2 linked regions of the Oryza sativa Japonica Group genome follow. The protein of the gene in region 2 interacts with the protein of the main gene of each other region in a pairwise test. Links are inferred from orthologs where the notes say so. Each region holds a gene or a part of one and is shown on either strand. Other genes may lie near its edges. The genes, in order: meiosis-specific protein PAIR2 and meiosis-specific protein PAIR3.

Region 1 (9,444 bases), on a different chromosome or scaffold from region 2:
GCTCTCAGATCAAATTAACTGACCTTCTGAGATTGTACCATTTTGACCTTTGCAAGTCCCATCTATTTTGATAAGTATGTTAGCACCAAAAACAGAAAGTACAACAAGAATACAAACAAAGAAACTTTACCATTTGGAGCAACAATGTAACGCTCTGCTTCAGATGGGCGAACCTAATAGAATTAGCGATTCAGTCTATACTACAGGTAAAAGGAAGACAAAAATATGCGTATACATCGAAAGGTGGCATCACAGCACACTAAGGAGAAAATTAAGAGAATCTCACTAATAAAGATGCTCAATTATATGTTCTCTTAGGTCTTTACCTCAGTGTCAGAAAAATCATTATCTTGGTCAGATTCATTATCCAAGCTCATATTATCATCTTCACTGTTGACATTGTTATCATCACAAGGGTCAAGGACACTCTTGACCTGCATAAAGAATAAAAACATATGTAGCAATGAGTTTAATTGAGAAAACAGAGGTTTCCTGGTCCAAACGACTGCTATCTCCATAATCCACTACCTTCAAAGCTAACACGAGATGCTTGCTATTGACATTTCCAACTTCCATCTTCAAGGGGTTCTTGTTCCATATATTTATGGCCTCGTTGTCAGCGCAACACTTAAAAAAGGGTGGCTCGTAATCTTCAGGCTGCAAATAGCATAATAAATTAACTGTTTTCGATTCCACGAACAAAGTTCTATAGAACAGAAAAGGTTGAATCCTTCATTTGTTCAGAGCAAAAATAATTATCTATTATGGCGGCTTCAAGTTTCAGTAAATAGCAAGAACAAATTGCTGCACTCACTGTGACATCATCGTAGTATAGCAGCTTCATTAGAATGGTCCTCTGAGGACAAATACAGGATAGCATTAGGTAAGTTCAATCCATTGTAACAAATCTGTGAAGTGCAAAAATTACCTCCTCTGGCATTTGGTCCAAGGTCCTCATAAGTGAAACCAGTGTTCTTATCATCTTACAAGCAGAGCTCCTGATTGGGAACCATATGATCATGTCAGGATATCAGCAGTGACTAGTTAAAGCTTACAATAATTACTTTGCAATTGCCATACACATATAAAAACCAATAAACAACCATTAATGAGCTTATCTAAAGGACTAAATTGAAACCATACCTTCAGAACTAGAATTCTGCAAGTTGTGGAAGAATATTTAAGAACAACTCGCAGAAAAGTTGGACTCAAAATTATAAGCCCAACTATGTTTTTAAAAAGGATTTACATCATTTATTGCCACCTCACAGTCCTATGTACCTAAATTTACAAAGTTACTGGAATCTATGTACCTCACTTTTTCACCACATTCCTTACATAGAAAAAGAAAATCTGAACTCCTTTTAGTCATCAATTTGCTCCTACTTCTTTGAAATCATAAAATTTTAAACTATTGTTATGTTGGGACTGCAACTTCATTAAACAAACACTCTCCAAAATGTATAATGCTAAGCAATATGAAAAATTAACCATTAAATCGTAGCATTTAGCTAAGCAGCATGGATAACTAACTAGAAGTCTAGAATGAATCATAGCCTTTAAAAGGGATATGTATGAGAGAACCTCATCTGATCAGGAGTGACTTCTGCTGCATTTGATTTAAATGTAGCACTGTTTTTCTTGCTCCCTGTGCGGCTCAAGTTCATTGCAACTTCATCACCGCTCGTGTTGGGGTAGCTAAATGAGACTGCAGGGGAGTTTGACACAGAATAAGAAAATGTTTGACATATGACCCACAATCACTGATGTAAAACCAACTTTGTATGCTAGAAGTTAGCCATATTTCACATGGTAATACTCACATGCATACTCCTCAATCATTGGGCCTTCCTCCTTCTCACAGATGCAGAAGAGAAGGGTCTTGAGATATTTCTTCTGTAGTGCATCATAGACACCTAAAATTTATCACAAAAATGGATTAAATGAACAAATTGGAAAATTAAAAAGATTTAACACGTAAAACAGGACATATTTTCACCTTTTTCCATCCAATCAATCAACCTCCTCGACTCAGTATCCATGGGCATTAGCTTCTTAATCTTCATCTCTGCAATAAATAAAAGGGTGTTCCAGCTAATAATATCATATCATCTGAGGAATTTGGTGTATAAAAGGGTTAGGGACTATAGGTAATGTGACCTAGTGCCGGAACCGACTTATCATTGAAGTACTTCTCAGGGAATAGACCTCTGATGTAGCTGATGTTGTATATAGCAATGCGGAGCAAATTCCTTGTCTGTTTGGTCAAAATATCACCACGTTATCACAATAGCGTTCTACCATACATAATTCAAAGAGAGTTCAGTATTCAATGTAATAGAAATAGAAGGGCAATAAAATCATCACAAATTGGATTACTGATTAACAAGTTTAGGCCTTATTGGATCCTGGTCCACCCCCAGGGATGGACTGAAATTGTAGTTCAGTTTCCTAGCCCATCCTGGAGCATGGCCCAGGGTTTTGGGCTTGCCAAACAAGGTGAGGCACAAAAGTTCACCAAACAACAAATGTGTCATGCTTTTCAATACTTTAGCACATGTTGAATCAAATAGGGTACCAGTCCCATTCAAACACACACCTGCAATAAATTTCTTAACAAATGCATAAATGAACATGGACCATACGATATATTTCACCTACTATGCACTTGCAGTCATGGGATCCTAAGCACTTCTAGGCAAAGTGCAGCTGACCATGTGAGCAAACAAGTACTAGAAAAGACAAAGAAAAACATTATTTGATTGGATATAAACCAACTGGTTTTTTGAAAGTACAAGAGGTACCAAAGTTTGGTGATCAACCAGTAATCCTAAAACTCATGTGGCAAAGCCAATGTCCACTTATTAAACCGAGTATCTAACAAAGATGTTAAAATAGGAGTGAGAGTGGGGGCTAGTCTAAAAATCATGCCAGCAGAGGTTTAATAAGCTGGCATATAATTCCTAAAGGCATAACATAAATTCCAAATTCAAATGATAGCGCAACAAAATAACCGATTATAAACAGAAGTGCAGCTTTTCTTATCACAAACTAATGCAGGATTAAGCAAATGTCTGTTCAAACCCAAAGTAGTGTATCGGAAATATTTTAAAAAACAGAAGAAGAATTAGGTCATAGAACTATCAGAACAGGAAATCTGGGAATAACCAAACCAATACGTGTGGTACTGTGGTGTCTCAATTCCACGTCCAAGCAACAAGTTTGAAAAGAGAAACTAAAATTACTCATGGAATCTGCTGCTGCCAAAAAAACTCTGAAGTCTAAAGAGATACCAAAAGCAAGCACAGCAAGAATTCAACGAACTGAATAAATTTTAGATGCTTCTAACAATATGATTCAAAACGATTGGAAGTAGAAACTCTTCACAAGGCTATGGAAGCAAGGAAAAAACCTTTTTAGGCCCTGCCAATTTGATCGATTCAGTGAACCGTGGGGGGTATGCACCCATGATTCCAGCATATAATCATCTACGCACAAATCATCAGGCCAATGCTCGTGGGTTTCACAACGAAACAAAAACGAAACGGGATTATCAAACCAGCGAATGTCTCCTAGAATTCCAACCAAGGTAGGCAACGTTTGTTCAAAACCCAAACAACTAACAAGCCTACTGGAAACATTTGAAAAAATCGACTCATACGACTGTCAGAAATGGAAATCCTGAACAACCAGGCCCAGGCCAATACGAGTCGTGTCTCGATTCCATGTTCAAGCAAGCATTTCGGAAGCAAAATGAAGTTACTCACTGTAACTGCTGCTCCCAAAACACTTCAGAAGAGATTCCAAACGCAAAGCACATGAGAAGTTCAACGAACTGAACAATTCCTTAGATGCTTCTGGCGAAACAGTTCGAAACAACACGACTTGAATTCGAAATTCTTCGCAAGGATATCTAAGCCAGGGAAAAAAACTTTCAACCCTACCAATTTGATCAACTACGCAGACTGCAGAGACTATGCGCCTATGTTTCCAGCACGATGGTCTACGCACAAACAATCAGGCAAATGCCTGTGGGTATCACAACGAAACCAAATCGAAACGCGATTATCAAACCAGTGAATGTCTCCTTGAAATCCCAACCGAATCACCACGCGAGTAGCAAAACAAAGTGATGTGATCCGTTCAACAAAATTCTAATGCTGAGAGAATCGCACAAACCAGTAGAAATTCTGCTCAAAATTTCTGCGAAATTTAGCAAACCAACCAGAGATTTTTCACGAGAACATTATGTCAAAAAATTTTCACGAGAACAGATTCGGTGCCTCAAACCAGAGAAACAAAACTCACATCGATCAAGCAGCAGGGAGAAAAACCACCGAATCATCATTCAGTGCGATACCGAAACGATCCATCAGTTACGCATTCGAGAGATAGTGCTACACGGAGAAACCAGAAACCAACTCCAATCTGAGATACCCAGAAGCTTTTGAACGGGCGGAGAGCACCAGAGGAAGTGAAACAAAAATCCCAGGACTCATGCTCCAAACACGCCTAAATCCGCACGAGAAATCGGTTAAAATCTGCAAAGCACCAATGAAATCCACCCAAAAACACTAGCAAAGTGAGATGCTACTGATGCTTCGCACTGGCCGCCCAACTAGCACCATTTGGTAGTCAGCGGACGGAGACTACCAGAGAAAGCGAGAAACCCAAAACCCCACGACGATCTCCAAACACATCCAAAATCCGCACGAGAAATCGGTTAAAATCAGCAAAGCAACAGTTAATTCCACCCAAAAGCACTCGCAAAGTGGGGGGGGGGGGGAAATCCGACACGCGTGACCACCAACACTCGAATCAAACCCAAATCGAACGCCAGCTACTGCAAACCCCAGTACACCACACGAGCGATCAAATCCACAGCGAAAAACCTCCCAAAAACCTCGGCAGAAAACCCTCGATCGGGTGAACCGATCCGATGTCCGGCACCGAACCACCGAAATCGAAAGTCGCACGGGAATCGAACAGGAGATGGGCGAGGAGAGAAAAAAAAACTCACCAGAAGCAGCGAATCCTGCTCCGTGATCTCCGCCTCCTTCGTCTTCTGAGCCATCACCTGCATCGCAATCACCCACTCCGATCAGCACGCACACACCAGCAAGCGCAACGCGAAATCGAAGCGAGAACCCACCATTTCGTCTCTACGGCGGCGCGCCGCGCGCGAGATGAGAGAAGGGAGAGGGGAGAGGAGTGGGAGAGAGAGAGAGAGAGAGAGCGAGAGAATTTGCGGGGCTTTGGAGAGCTAGTTTTCTCTTCTTCTTTTTTAAGTACTACTGTATATATTGAAGATTTAAAGTGTTATGAATTTTTACCCGGGTGCTTTTCTTTCGAGGAAATTACCGTACCCGAGCGCCTTTTCTTTTGAGGAAATTAATTAACTTGTAAAACAAGTACTAGTAGTAGCCGTAAATTTAATTACGTGTCTGCCACGTCGACAGGACGGGCACGATGCGTTTCCGGTTTCCTGCTTCCGAGATTTGGAGGACCCGCCTACGCTGCGCCAGCCTGGCAGCCTGCCTCCAGCTATAAAAGTACTCCCCCTCGCCGTGATTCGCCCTCGTCTCCCACCCCGCTCCACCGCCACCGTCCTCCTTGCTCGCGTCACGCCGCCGTCGCCGTGCTCGCGTAGTCGCGTTCGCGTCCCACCCCTCATCCGGCGCGGCGCGGCCGCGCGGCGCGCCCCCTCCGCTACGCCATGGCTCTTCCGACGGCGACCGTTGCCAGCCTCCCGGAGCTGCGCGCCCTCGTCCGGGAGGTGGTCGGGGAGTGCCGCGTCCAGGTACGCTCCGTCGCGGCGCTGCGGGACGCCCCCGAGATGTACCTTGCCCTCTCCGCCCTCTCCGTCGACTACCAGTGGCAGGTCGAGGACGGCGACCTCGAGCGCCTCGCCGACGTCGCCGAGCTCGCCCGCGTCCTCGACCTCATGCTCAAGGTCCACATCCCGCAGCTCAAGCTCCAGCTCGTCGACGTCGACCTGCGGCGCGGGCTCCTCAACGACCTCGTCGGCTTCCGCGTGAGGGGTTCTCTCGCCATCCACGCGCTCACCCAGGACATGGCGGACGATGTCCTTGCTGCCAGCCCCATGCCCACCGCCGGCTCCGGTGCCCTGCTTCTTCAGACGCACTCCCGTCTCACGGAGCTCCTGCTGGACCGCCTCCTCCTCCACTCCATGCAGGCGCGGGCTCTCGCACTCAGGATTGGTCATCCGATCTCGACGAGTGTGCAGGCGCTCGACGAGCTTCTGCACAACGACATCGCCAACGGCGTGCGAGCGGACCGTCTCCCTGAGGCGACTCCAGGTCAACTCGATCGCGCTCTCCATCGCATTACCAACATGTTGGGATCGCCTGTTTGATTTACCTCCCTGTTTGATTTACGAACAGAATTTTGGATGTGTAGTAGTAAGAGATTGTATTGCTTAGTCCCCCTGTTTTGATTTAGGGATTTGAGAGTTGATCTACGAACAGAAATTTGGATGTGTAGTAGTAAGAGATTGTATCGCTTAGTCCCCCTGTCACTTTAAAAAACGGGAATACGCAAGGAGCGCATCTTTGTATTAAGAGGAGTAAAAGTCTGTACAGGTGAAAGAGAAAACACAGCAGGACACGGGATTACAGGAAGTCACCCAAGAGCATTAAACCCTAATCTCGCGATACAATGTTGCGACCTGAGCGCTCTAAAGGCGTGGCCGGTATGGCAGTATTGGCGAGCCGCCACAGCGCTGCCTCTTCCGCCATTGCCCTTGCCACTTCTGTCCAGCTTCTGTGCTTCTGGTTGAACACCCTGTTATTTCGCTCCTTCTAGATAGTCCATGCTGCGAGAGTAGCAATGGTATCAAAACCTCGCCGTTGAGAGCTCGGTAAGGTTTCCCTCTTGTCACACAACCAGGAGTGGAATGAGGTTTCATTGACAGGCAAGCATTCCGAGCGACCGATTGCCGAGAGCAGTAGCCACCAGAGCTGTCTTGATTCTGGGCATGCGACCAAAATGTGGTTGATGCTTTCCTCGTGCTGATCGCATAGGACACACATGCTAAGGTGGGGCAAGCCCCTGATGCTTAACCTGTCCGCCGTCCAGCAGCGGTTGAGTGCGACCAGCCAGCTGAAGTAACGGCAGCGCGGCGGCGCCAGCGATTTCTAGATCGGCGTGGATTGGAACGGGATTCGACCGAGGAACAATGCTTGGTAGGCGGAGCGGGAGGAGTACATGCCTGAACTTTCCCATTTCCAAATAAATTGGTCCTGGTGATCCGAGAGCTCTATCTCCCGCAAAAACGACCAGAGATTGAGATACTCCACGATGGCCTGCAATCCGAGGGCTCCTCGTATATCGCTTTAGGGATTTGAGAGTTGGATGTGTAGTAGTAAGAGATTGTATCGCTTAGTCCCCTGTCACTTTAGGGATTTGAGAGTTGTTATGGTTGATTTACCAATTGTTACGATTTGTTGCATTTACCAATTGGGATAGAAATGAATGATGACCTTCATGTATCAGCAAAATCTACCAACTGGGATAGAAATGAAATGATTCTACGCTCTTGATGACCTTCATGTATCAGCAAATTAAATCCAGTGGCTGCCAGATTTTTCTTTTCGTTGGCTTGTTACCTGACTTCTTGAATGTGCAACTAACCATGGTTGAGTGTTGAAATTTGTTTTAGGAATTGAGGTCAAGCTGTAGATATCTTGTCAGCCCAATGCAACCAAAAATATGTTGATAGTATAGCTGGTAGAGCATCTGTAATTGAAATTCAAATGCAGAAACCTCTTATTAACCTGTTTATCACTTGGTGTCAAACAAAAGGTAGATGTTCCAGTTAATGTCACTAGCAAAATTTAGAGATGAAAGACGAAAATGATTCAGTTGTGTCCTGGGTTAATGAAGAGAAACGCAAGCATGTAAAGTTACAAAACTTATTGGACAGTATTATAATAATGTAGTAAATGAAGAGAGAAATTACATAACCATCTACGCTGGATAAATGCTGAGAAAAACACAACTAAGATTTAACATGACAACGGCTGCAAGGCTTCGTAACAGCTAATTTAACTGTCGAGGGAACTTTTCGCTCGATGAATGTTTCAATTGCCAATACCGCTCTGTTGGCTTCAGTGAGCATCTTGCCTATAGGAAAACATTTCTTGTGTTCGCCTGTAGAACAGCTAGAAACACCACGGGTTGTATCTAGTGTTAGGCACTTGAGTGAGGTTGTATTGTCAAGAATATAACATGTTAGCTCGATCAAGCTCTTTGCAGAGCAGAAACCAGTGATCTTCACGCTCTGGAGGTTGCCATGACGATGGTGTTCAGGCATCTGCCTCAATTGCAAGGAATCTCCAAAAATTGAGACATGCCCCATGCGTTCTTGTGATACCTGAAGATGAAAAGCCAATGTGCTTCAATTGATGGTTACCACTGTAAATGGCCAATACATAAGTTTAAAGAATGAAAATTAACTTACATCCAGAAAGAAAGTCTCCAAGGAAGGAGAAGCATCAAGAAAAGAAACCAGAGAAAAATAATCATAGGCTGGGGAAAAAGTGACCATTCCAACAAGAGAAATAGTCAAGCACTTGAGGTGGAGGAATTTGCTAGGCAACATTGGTGTGTCGACCATCTGCGGAAAGATAATCAGACTGATGATATTCTTCTAAAGTACTGTTGTAAGGATATAGCAAGTCCATAATCATTTAAAGTTTTTGGGTGTACCTCATGAGGAGAGCCAATGGTTAGAGTTTCAAGATTTGGCACATTGGATGGAAGCTCTGCACAAGCATAATAGACAGCACCAGGATAGCACATGGATAGGCTCTTCATTTGCAACGATTCGCCAAGCAAGAGTTGCACATGATTAATTCCAAAGTGAAAACTACCAAGATTTGGAGCACTATTCTCTATGACTTGCAGCATTCTACATTCAAACACTTCCAGGTGGCTAAGGCGTTGCAACAGGCAAGGTATCTTCACACAAATTATTCCATAGCAATAGTTAAGTTCCAACCGCTCCAAAGCATAAGAATTAGAGAGAACGCACCCTAACTCATTGCCTGTAATATGTACAAAGGCCAGATGCAGCCTCGTCAAGTTTCTTAATTCAAGGTTGATTGTGGGATGGAAAGAACACCTGCTAAGATAAAGATGCCGCATTGAGCTTCCTCTCCCATCAGATAAAAGTGAGCACGGGAAGTTGTACTCATCATCATATTTTGAATCAAAGTAATTTGTGTTGTACGATAATATCCCAAGAGTGAGTTCTTCAATCAATGGTGTAACAGCAATCTGAAGCCAACTGTCGAGATAATAACTGGTGCTGGCATTGTAAAATATACCAGATTCAAACCTTAATGATTTGATGCCAATGCCTGAGTGGTTTTTCAGAATGCAATCAACTTTCTTGATGAAATTCAAGTCCGGTGTTTCTAT
Region 2 (9,168 bases):
TGAAAAAAAAAAGTCAGAGCGTCCGATCCGATCCCTAGTTCACCGGTTTAGCTAGCTGTAAACTGGTGTTATTTTATTTTGAGAGAATAGCTAATATGTTCCCTAAAGTTTCACTCCTGAATCATTTTAGTCCTTAATTTTTCATATTGTCCAAACAAGTCTTTTAAATTTGTCATGTGGGCTAATATAGTCCTTGGTCCCACCAAAATCGCCACATAGACATGCCATGTCACCTTTCTACGCAAAATCTATATGATTTGTCCAATTTACCCTTACGTATAAGAAAATAAAAAACAAAAGGAAAAAGTTAAAAAAAAATATGGTATATGTAAGAGCAAAAATATACCTCAAAAGGGTGAAAAAAAAGAAGTATATTTTTCCTATGGTTATGTCTAATTCACCCTTATATTTATTTTTCTATGATATACATAAGGGTAAATTAGATAATTCATCGTAGATTTTGCATGAATGATGACACGGCATATCCATATGATGATTTTGGTGGACCCAAGGACTATTCTAGGTCTTATGACAAAGGTTAAGGATTTCTTTGGACCATTTAAAAGGTTAGGGACTAAACTGATCCTACAGAGAAACTTTAGGGACTAAAATAGCTATTCTCCCTTTTATTTTCAACAAAAGGACTAGTGGTAATTTATACTAGTATATAGTTCGCATATTTCACAAACCACACTTAACTAGCCAACCGCTTCAATCCTCCAACTCATCACCTTTTCCATATTTTCAGTATTATGTGCTATGGGCCTTAAGCGGCCCATCTTCTAGCTATGCGTGATTAGGAGGCTTGCCTCAGTCTACCTCAGTTAAGGCCCTCTTTGTTTAGACTTATAAGCCAACTTATAAGCCAAAAAGTCTAAGTCTAAACAAACAAGTAACTTTTTCGTTTGGCTTTTTTGAAGCCATAAGCCACTCTTATACTATTAAGCCAAAAGTTAGGTTGGAGAAGGTTTTTTTGGCTTATATGAGATATATGTATGACTCCACCACTAAACTTAGGACATTAAATTCACTGGCTTATAAATCATATAAGCCAATAAGCTGACTTAAAAGTCTAAGCCAATAAGTCTAAGCCTAAACAAAGAGGGCATAAGTCAATTAAGCACATATTTAGTCTAAGTATTACTTCTATAATTTTCCTTATTAAATAAGTAGGTGATTTCAATTTTTGGGGAGAACCAGCAGTGAAGCAGGATAGTCTCGTTGAAGGGTGGTGTACTTAGTATATATTGTGGGGCCCAAATATTAGTAGTAGGGATAGTGTGGCAGTACGGATACCACCACCGCTAACATTCTAAGTAGTATAGATCTTTATTCTTTATAGATGCGACTTTAACAACAATTTTATATTATAAGTAAGTTTATGAGATCATGAATTTATTTGGTATATGTACATGCATCATTTTAATGTTTTAAACCTAAGTATTTTAGAAGTCGTGATGGTAACTTTGATTAGATTTGAGGCCTCCTTTGATTAACGTGATAGGAAAAACACATATAGGAGAAACACATGAATTAAAGTGGTGTGATTCTCTAATTCCACATGAATAAAAAAGTACAGAACGAAAATAGGAACCTTTGACAGTGCCATAGGGAAAAAAAGTTCATAATAAGCTCATATTTCTTACTATTTTTCCTATAAAATATGAAGCATAAGAATACAATCTTAGTCCTTCATTTTTCTATGAATCAAAGGGATATAGAGGAAAATTTTCATAGAAACTTGAGTCTTATGAAAATCCGCCAATGAGAAAATTCCATCTATACCACAAATTTTTTGCTGGTATCAAGTAATACCATAATATTATCCTCTATTCTAAAAATGTACTTGTGGTATTACTTAGTACTAGCAAAAATGTTTGTGGTATAGATGAAACTTTCCCATTGCCAGTCCTATTAATAAAAGAGGCCCTAATAACAAAATCGTCAAATATCAAAGTACAGTACCGATGAAACTGCACGAAATACCCTTTAAGAATTGTATTATTTGTTTGCACTTTTTTGACAAAAGTTCATGTCACAAGACTTGGCAGGTTATACCCAGGTATTTTAACTTGAAATTTGAAGCCACAAAATCTATTTGTTGTGCACATAGTACCATAAAGTACTCCCTTCATTCCATTTTAAGTACAGCTATGAGTTTCTGTGTTTAACTTTCATTGTCCATCTTATTTATTTTTTAAAAAAAATTAAAAGCATAAGTCACTGTAAAAAGTACAATTCATATTTTGTCATCTAACAACAATAAAAATACTAAATATAAAAAATTAAATAACATTCATGTTTTGTCATCTAATAACAGTAAAAATACTAATTATAAAAAAATTAATAAGATAAAATTAAAGTTGGATACGGAAAATTACGTAGTGTTTGGTTTGGGGACGAAGTGGGATGGGTTAGACCTATCCTAGTTTTGTGGGATATGATGGTTCCAATTGTCTGTTTGGTTTATGGTATGGAATGGTTATAGTTTTCTGTTTGGTAGAAGGGATTGAGGTGGGATGGGATGGACGGATTTGTACTCACCGTTAGTGCCGTTTGGGGCCGGAGGAGCTCGGCAGCGGTCGCGAAGGTGGCGGCAATCGTGGAGGCGGCGGCGGTCGTGGACGAGGCGGAGGAGGCGGCGGGTGTGGCGACAGTGCTCGCGATGGTGGCGGCGCTCGCGGAGGTGGTGGTTGTGGTGCTCGCGGAGGTGGCGACGCTCGTGGAGGCGGCGGCGGGTGTGGAGGCGAGGCGGCTCCCGGATCTGAGAGGAGCGCGGCGGTGCTCGCGGAGGTGGCGGCGCTCGCGGAGGTGGCGGTCGCGGTGCTCGCGGAGGTGGCGGCGCTCGTGGAGGCGGCGGCGGTGCTCGCGGAGGTGGCGGCGCTTGTGGACAAGCGGCGACGCTCATGGAGGTGACGGTGGTCGTGGAGGAGGAGGAGGCGGCGGCGCTCGTGGACGCGCAGAGGTGGCAGTGGGCGTGGACGAGGCAGCGGCGCTCAGGGAGGCGGCGACACTTGCGGATGCACGGCGGAGTTCGCGGAGGTGGCGGATGGCACGGTGACGCCGTTCGCTCGTCCTAGGTGGGACGAGTTCGTCCGCCAGTTTTTTGCGGATCAGTTGGTCCTGGATCTAAAAGGAATATTCCTCTCCAGGGACCAACCCATCCCACCCACCCCTAAACCAAACACCCCTAAAAGTGGGTTCGTCCCCATTACATCCCACCTTATTCTTGCAACCAAACACTACCTTATAGGACGGAGGGAGTACGCAATAAATTTCTGCCATTTAGCAGGTTAGGGAATCAGTGTACCGGAGTAAAAATACACCACAGCTGCATATATGTGGGACCAAATGAATCGGGGAGACTGACATGTGGGCCATCCTTATGTGTGCCCCGCACGTCAGTGGCAATACATCAGGTTACCACCGGTGCACGCGAACGGCGTGACGAAAGACGAGTAGACTCCCCCAAAAATTTCAAAAATTCAAAATCCCCCGCTCTCTCCCAAACTTTTCCCCTTCCCCTTTCCCATTCGCCTCTCCACCGCCGCGGAAATCCCCCGTGCGGCCGCGCGGGTTTCGAGGCGGCGCGACGCCGGCGAGCGGCGGCGCAGGTGAGCCCCCCTCCCTCCGCACCTCTCTCACTTGCTCGTCGCTGGTTCTCCCTGATCTCGTCGGTCTCCTTGTTCTCGTTCGAGCAGCTTGGCTGGGGTGGCTCGCTCCCGACGGCGCGGGGGGCTCGTCGGAGAAGAAGCAGAGATTCCTTCTCGCCTTCCGCGGTTCGTGTAGCTTCGCCGGAGGGCGTCCGAGGCGTCGCCGGTGTCACTAGGGGTAAGTTGCTGGGCTACTTACTGGACTCCATGATTCCCCCCCGTGCATGCGCTGCATCGTTTCCACGCTCCCTCGTGGGGGGAGATTTTAGGGTTCGGGAGGGGGAGTTGGGACCTGGGACTCGCCCTGTGCATTTCCGTGGCGATCGCTTCTGATTTTCGCCTCTGTTGCTATGGAATTGCATATTTGCCTCGTTCGTAAACCTATCGTGTAGGTTTCCGTTGGATGATTGGATCCTGAATTCTGTCCGATTGTTTTTGTCTCTCTAAATTATGGTTATCTGCCGCAAGTGTTAGGCTATGTTAGTGTCGCATTCCGCAGTATTTTTCACGGAGTTGGGTTCTTCTAGATAGTGAGTGGAGCCTGGATTGTGTATTATGTTTGTGGAAGAAGATCTCTTAATGCTGAGGGCACATTTAAATTGCTGATACACAATATTGGTTTGATATGTTTGTAATGGACTGTTCCTAGAATTTCACTGGGGGTACTAAATTGACTTGTTGGACATGCAGTCTATTTAATTTGAGCCTCAGTGCAGCAGTACACTGTTGCAGTTATCAATCAAAAGCAAGTTGTTAGCAATCAAATCATCCAGCTTAGAAATTTAGGTGTGGTACTGTGGTTATGTAATGCAGCTCCACCACCACTGTAGTAATTTAAAGTTGACAGTTGTAGTACAACGATGCAGTTATTTGTTACTACTTTTCAATGCTAGTTTCTTTTCCAAGCGTGATTGCAATATTGCCATGTGACAATCTTTTACATGTATTGCCTGCTGAATCAGGAAAAAGAAGTACAGATGTATCACTAATTCACTTATGCTTTGGTAGGCTAGTTGAGGATCAGTGTCCCTTGCCCCCATGTCAATGCTTATTTGCGGTGTTTTCGCCCTTGCTGATACAGCTGTGCTTCTCACATGTGATGGCAGATTTGAAATTTCTTCCTATAACCATGCTTGATAAAGATGTGCTTTGCAAGACCTCTGTATTCATTTGCTAAGCATAATTTTGATTCTGAAAGATTGTCTCAGACCAGTAGAATCTTGTCTTATGCAGTTGTTTTTCTATTCACCAGGTCCAACCTTCTTTAGTTAATTTGGTATACTATTATCCCAAAAGCTGCACCTATGGAAGTTGAGCTGACGAACATTCAGAAAGTGAGTAGCTATTTCCTCTGCTAAGCTGCTGGATGCTTTCCTTTTTCATGTTATCCTTTCACCTTCAGATGTTTTTTCATTATAGTATTAAAAAAGTTAGCATGTTATACTTTTGTAGGCTACATCAAGTGACTATTGGAGTTTGGCCAGCAATCAATATCCATGTGGTAAATTCCCTAAGGTATCAGTTGGCGTCACAATTCCAAGGACGAGTTCTGTATCAAGAGGCAGAGATGCTGCTAGTACCGCTGCATTTGAGAAGAACTTGTCTCAGGGAACTGATGGAAGATCTAGACCTCCCAAAATGGATAATGCTTCACTTCAGGTCTCTCCAGAAGCAGCAAACCACGGCGGATCTGCTAAAGAGGTTCCTAAACCTGTCCCTGCTAAGGTTTCTGTATCACAACCTGATGATAATGCAATTGAGCAAACAGGAACCTTTTCCTTTGGAACAAGAAGAGAACAGGACAGTCATCTTGATCAATTAGATAGGCCACCACTTGTGAGTTCCCAAGGAAAGCGTCAAGTGGAATCAGCTGATAAAAACAAGCCCAACAGTGAAATGCTCAGGATGAAACTGTGGGAGATCCTTGGTGGTACTTCACAAAACAAGGAGGCTGTTGCCTCACCAAATCCTGAAGATATTGAGACGCCATGCCAACCTAAAAGTCAAATTGCCAATGGACCATCTTCAGGAAGACAGAAGGTTTTCACTTCACCTGTTCCATATAATATTAAGACACCAGCTCAGTTTAATAGTCAAACAGCGAACAAACCATCCTCTGATCCAATTGAGTCAGACTCCGACAGTCCTCAAGTAGTTGAAGTAAGACCTATTACTCGTTCGCTGGGGCGCAAGAAAGAACCAACAGGCTCCACACATCAGGATAAGAGCGGGAGTGCAAAGAAACCATTGTCTACTCATCGTTCTACACCCAAGCAGAAAATATTGGACAATGTGTTTGCCTTCAACGATAAATGCACACCTAAAACAGTAGGAAAATCTGCAAATGGTGAATCTGGCAGCTTGAGGAATCTTAGAAGCTTGAGTAGGAGGGCTAAAGTTGAGCCAAAGAAGGCACATTGTTCGGACAGGATTTCTCATAAGACTACACAGGATGATATGGAAAGAAAGGTACCTTCTAAATATATACCATCAGAGAAAAAAGGTGAGAAAACAAACTCCTTTTCTTCTTTATCCCGAACAGGAAAAACTGCTGAGAGTTGTTCTAGAAGCCCTAAAAGGGAGAGAAGGGTGAACACGATGGCTAATGTTGGGGCTCGAAAGATGCAGTTATCTGAAAATTTACTGGTCAAGACTCTAAATGATGGTGAACACAAGCTCTCTTCTCCTCAGCTTACTTCCTTTAAGAGCAAGGGAAAATGTTCTTCTATATCGCCTCAACAGAAGGAGAATGATAATACCCACATCCCTGAAGCTTCAGACAGAACAGCAGCAAGAAATAGTTTTAACTCCACACCTTCTCCTGCTGCTAATCCATCTCCTGTACTGAGGAAGTACTCATGGGAACATGATGAGAATCCTGCGATAAATGGTAAATCTGGACAGAAGGATGCCAGTCCGTTGGCAGACAGATTCAGCGACATGCCAGATGATTTTGCAAGTCCTACTTTTGCAGCAAACATAAAAATATCCCCCCACAGAAGTAAAATGCTAGACGATGACCTATTTAGCTCCAAATATCCAAAAGGTGTGAACAGGTCAAGATCAACTTCCTTTACCTCGGATCCAGAATCGGAGCCATTGGTATGCTTCAATCTCTAAAGCAGATTGCAACTTTAGTAAATGGTTCTGTTTATACTCTACGTAGCAGAGCAATTTTATCCGTTTGACACTAATTGTTCTACTGTCCAGGACAAAATGGAGAAAACCAACGAGTTACCTGGCAGTGAATCTCCTAACTCTCAGGAGGAAAGACAGAACAGAAAACAACCACATCTTTCACCCCTTTCTCCTATTGAGAGTGAAGGGGCTCAAATTTCTATTCCAAGCTTTAGAAAAGGTCAGAACGCCATCAATGCCAATTTTCTAGGCTCTTTATTAAAAAGGGGTAGACATGCTCCTGTCATGTTTAATGCTTCCATTCTAGACTCAAAGGTAGCCATGCTAACTTACAGTGCACTACCCCCTTATTCTGCATGTGGACCATACTTATTGGACAGAAATCTTATGTATATGTAATTATGTATTTCAAGCACCTCTTGAATTTATCATTTAGGTCATAGGATCAACACTGGCCATAATCCTTATAACATTTGCATAATCTGTCAGATCAATCCTGTTAGTATTGGTGTTCATGATATGTACACTTATTTTATTGGTGCAAATTTTGACATCGTTACTTTTGGCCTCATAAACGCTCGAAGTTTGACTATTTGAACATTGAATTCTAACTATACTGGCAAGCATATTTGCAGGGTTGTTAGTGGTGAGATTGCAAAAAAGAAAAAAAATTTCTGTGTCACCCACTTCATTTACTTGACCTTTTTATGACAATTACACATTTTATGTGACATGATAAATGAGTATTTGTGTTTGCTTTTGCTGTCATTTTCGATTAGTGCTGCCTTACTAAGCCGTTAGATGTCTTCCAGGTAACCTGCTATTGTAACTTGTGTTCACTGGCCTGACCGCAGAAAATTTCCTAAATTCCTTTTTGTGGCTGTATAGTTAGGCTCTTCAGATTTTCAGCTATGTCTTGCTGCTAGGTCACAACATTTTTTTGCAACTGAAGGATCTTGAAACTTGAAAGTGCCAATTCATGAGAGCATGCCGTTTGTGTGATAGCTGACAAGTGGCATAGCAGCAACAAGTGGCATATTCTGCCATGTGCAAGCATATCCTTAGTTTACATATATTTCATCAGAACTGTTTACCATGTTAAATTCGCTATTAGTTTAGTTATTCGACTGTATTATTTTCAGCCTTTCAGAACATTAATTACTTGAGCTAAAGTTCTCATTGGAGATGCACACATCTATCTATCTTAAAGTTGCTTATTCATGCCTTGTCGCTTTGTTTTTCACATGCAGGATATAAATCTCATAAATGGCTTTCAGATGTTGACAGCCCTGATAAATCTTCTATTGAGCATCTGGGCCGAAAATCACATCTAAAAGAGGGTAGAAAGGGCAAAAGGCAATTAACTTCGCCAACCCATTTTGCCACCTCTGGTAACACTGATTACTTTACTGTTGTGCTTGTGCATTCATGGTTTTCGGTCTGACCAATATTTTTTTTCTCAGGGACGCAAGAAACAATGTCAGACAAAGAACCAGAAAAAGTCCCAGAAAACTACCTAACCAGGTTTGACTTAGGTCATTGTGGCTTAAATAGTAGGTACAAACATGATTGCTAGTTTGCTACTTGGATTAATTTCATTTCTTGACTTCCACCAGGGCTTTTGATCAGTTAGTAGTGGTGCTAGGAAGGTTCCAAACCAAAATCAAGTCTGAAACAAGGAATAAAAGTTCTAAGATACTTGCAGCTACTGGAGAGATAATACGCCAGCACCTTGAAGGGGTTGAGGGGCAGATGCAGGCTGATGTGTAAGATCGAGTGCCAGTGCCACTTAGAAACTGCCTCTTTTCTTCTTTATGCACATGCGATTGTATATAGGCCAGATATGTACTGCCTCTTTCATGCATGGCATTTAACTGTGATTTCAGGGACAAGCTGGTCAATGCAGGAAAATCTAAAAGGAAACGTCTAGAGTCAACATTTGAAGGTAAAACTCTAATCATGTCGATGCAACCATTCATAATGCAATTAATCTATGAGGGCATGATGTGGCAATATTTTTTATCCAACTATTGTTTGTTGTAACTGTAACATTTTTTATTCTACGTATTTGGATTATTCATCTCATGTAACACAAACTCTTAAATCTTGATTCATCAATACAGAGTCATGTTTGAACTCTAGATAGAATGTTTGAAGTCTACTACAGGATAACAATGTAATCTGCCTGTTCCCTTGGTTTGGTTGGCTAGAATGACAAGTAATTTGAAATGGAGGGAACATTAGTTTGAGAAAATCTCATGCAGTATTTGTCTTATTCTGCCTGCAATCATCTGATGTGGCTTGGACGCTTGGTCTTTATCTACTTCGTTATTTTGATCTCGTATTATATACTGAGTTAAATCTCAATATGCAACTG

What was found.
Region 1: the proteins of meiosis-specific protein PAIR3 (region 2) and meiosis-specific protein PAIR2 interact in a two-hybrid assay, tested with the Arabidopsis thaliana proteins (2 studies listed by BioGRID). The link is inferred for Oryza sativa Japonica Group from reciprocal best matches to the Arabidopsis thaliana genes ASY3 and ASY1.

The regions. Positions count from the first base shown.
Region 1 is NC_089043.1:24,027,392-24,036,835, reverse strand, and holds the start of meiosis-specific protein PAIR2, read right to left. Parts: upstream 5,258-9,444; 5' UTR 5,156-5,257; coding exon 5,153-5,155; intron 5,078-5,152; coding exon 5,021-5,077; intron 2,258-5,020; coding exon 2,161-2,257; intron 2,069-2,160; coding exon 2,000-2,068; intron 1,917-1,999; coding exon 1,824-1,916; intron 1,709-1,823; coding exon 1,585-1,708; intron 999-1,584; coding exon 929-998; intron 857-928; coding exon 815-856; intron 658-814; coding exon 529-657; intron 435-528; coding exon 327-434; intron 174-326; coding exon 131-173; intron 63-130; coding exon 24-62; intron 1-23. Other genes in the region: uncharacterized protein, read right to left, coding at 8,021-8,395, 8,483-8,638, 8,731-9,444. UniProt on the Arabidopsis thaliana protein: Required for normal meiosis in male and female gametophytes. Plays a crucial role in coordinating the activity of DMC1, a key member of the homologous recombination machinery.
Region 2 is NC_089044.1:14,496,634-14,505,801, forward strand, and holds the start of meiosis-specific protein PAIR3, read left to right. Parts: upstream 1-3,462; 5' UTR 3,463-3,614; intron 3,615-3,701; 5' UTR 3,702-3,831; intron 3,832-4,905; 5' UTR 4,906-4,957; coding exon 4,958-4,987; intron 4,988-5,105; coding exon 5,106-6,755; intron 6,756-6,863; coding exon 6,864-7,011; intron 7,012-8,041; coding exon 8,042-8,182; intron 8,183-8,254; coding exon 8,255-8,315; intron 8,316-8,407; coding exon 8,408-8,557; intron 8,558-8,677; coding exon 8,678-8,736; intron 8,737-9,168. UniProt on the Arabidopsis thaliana protein: Required for normal meiosis in male and female gametophytes. Acts with ASY1 at the interface between the developing chromosome axes and the recombination machinery to ensure interhomolog recombination.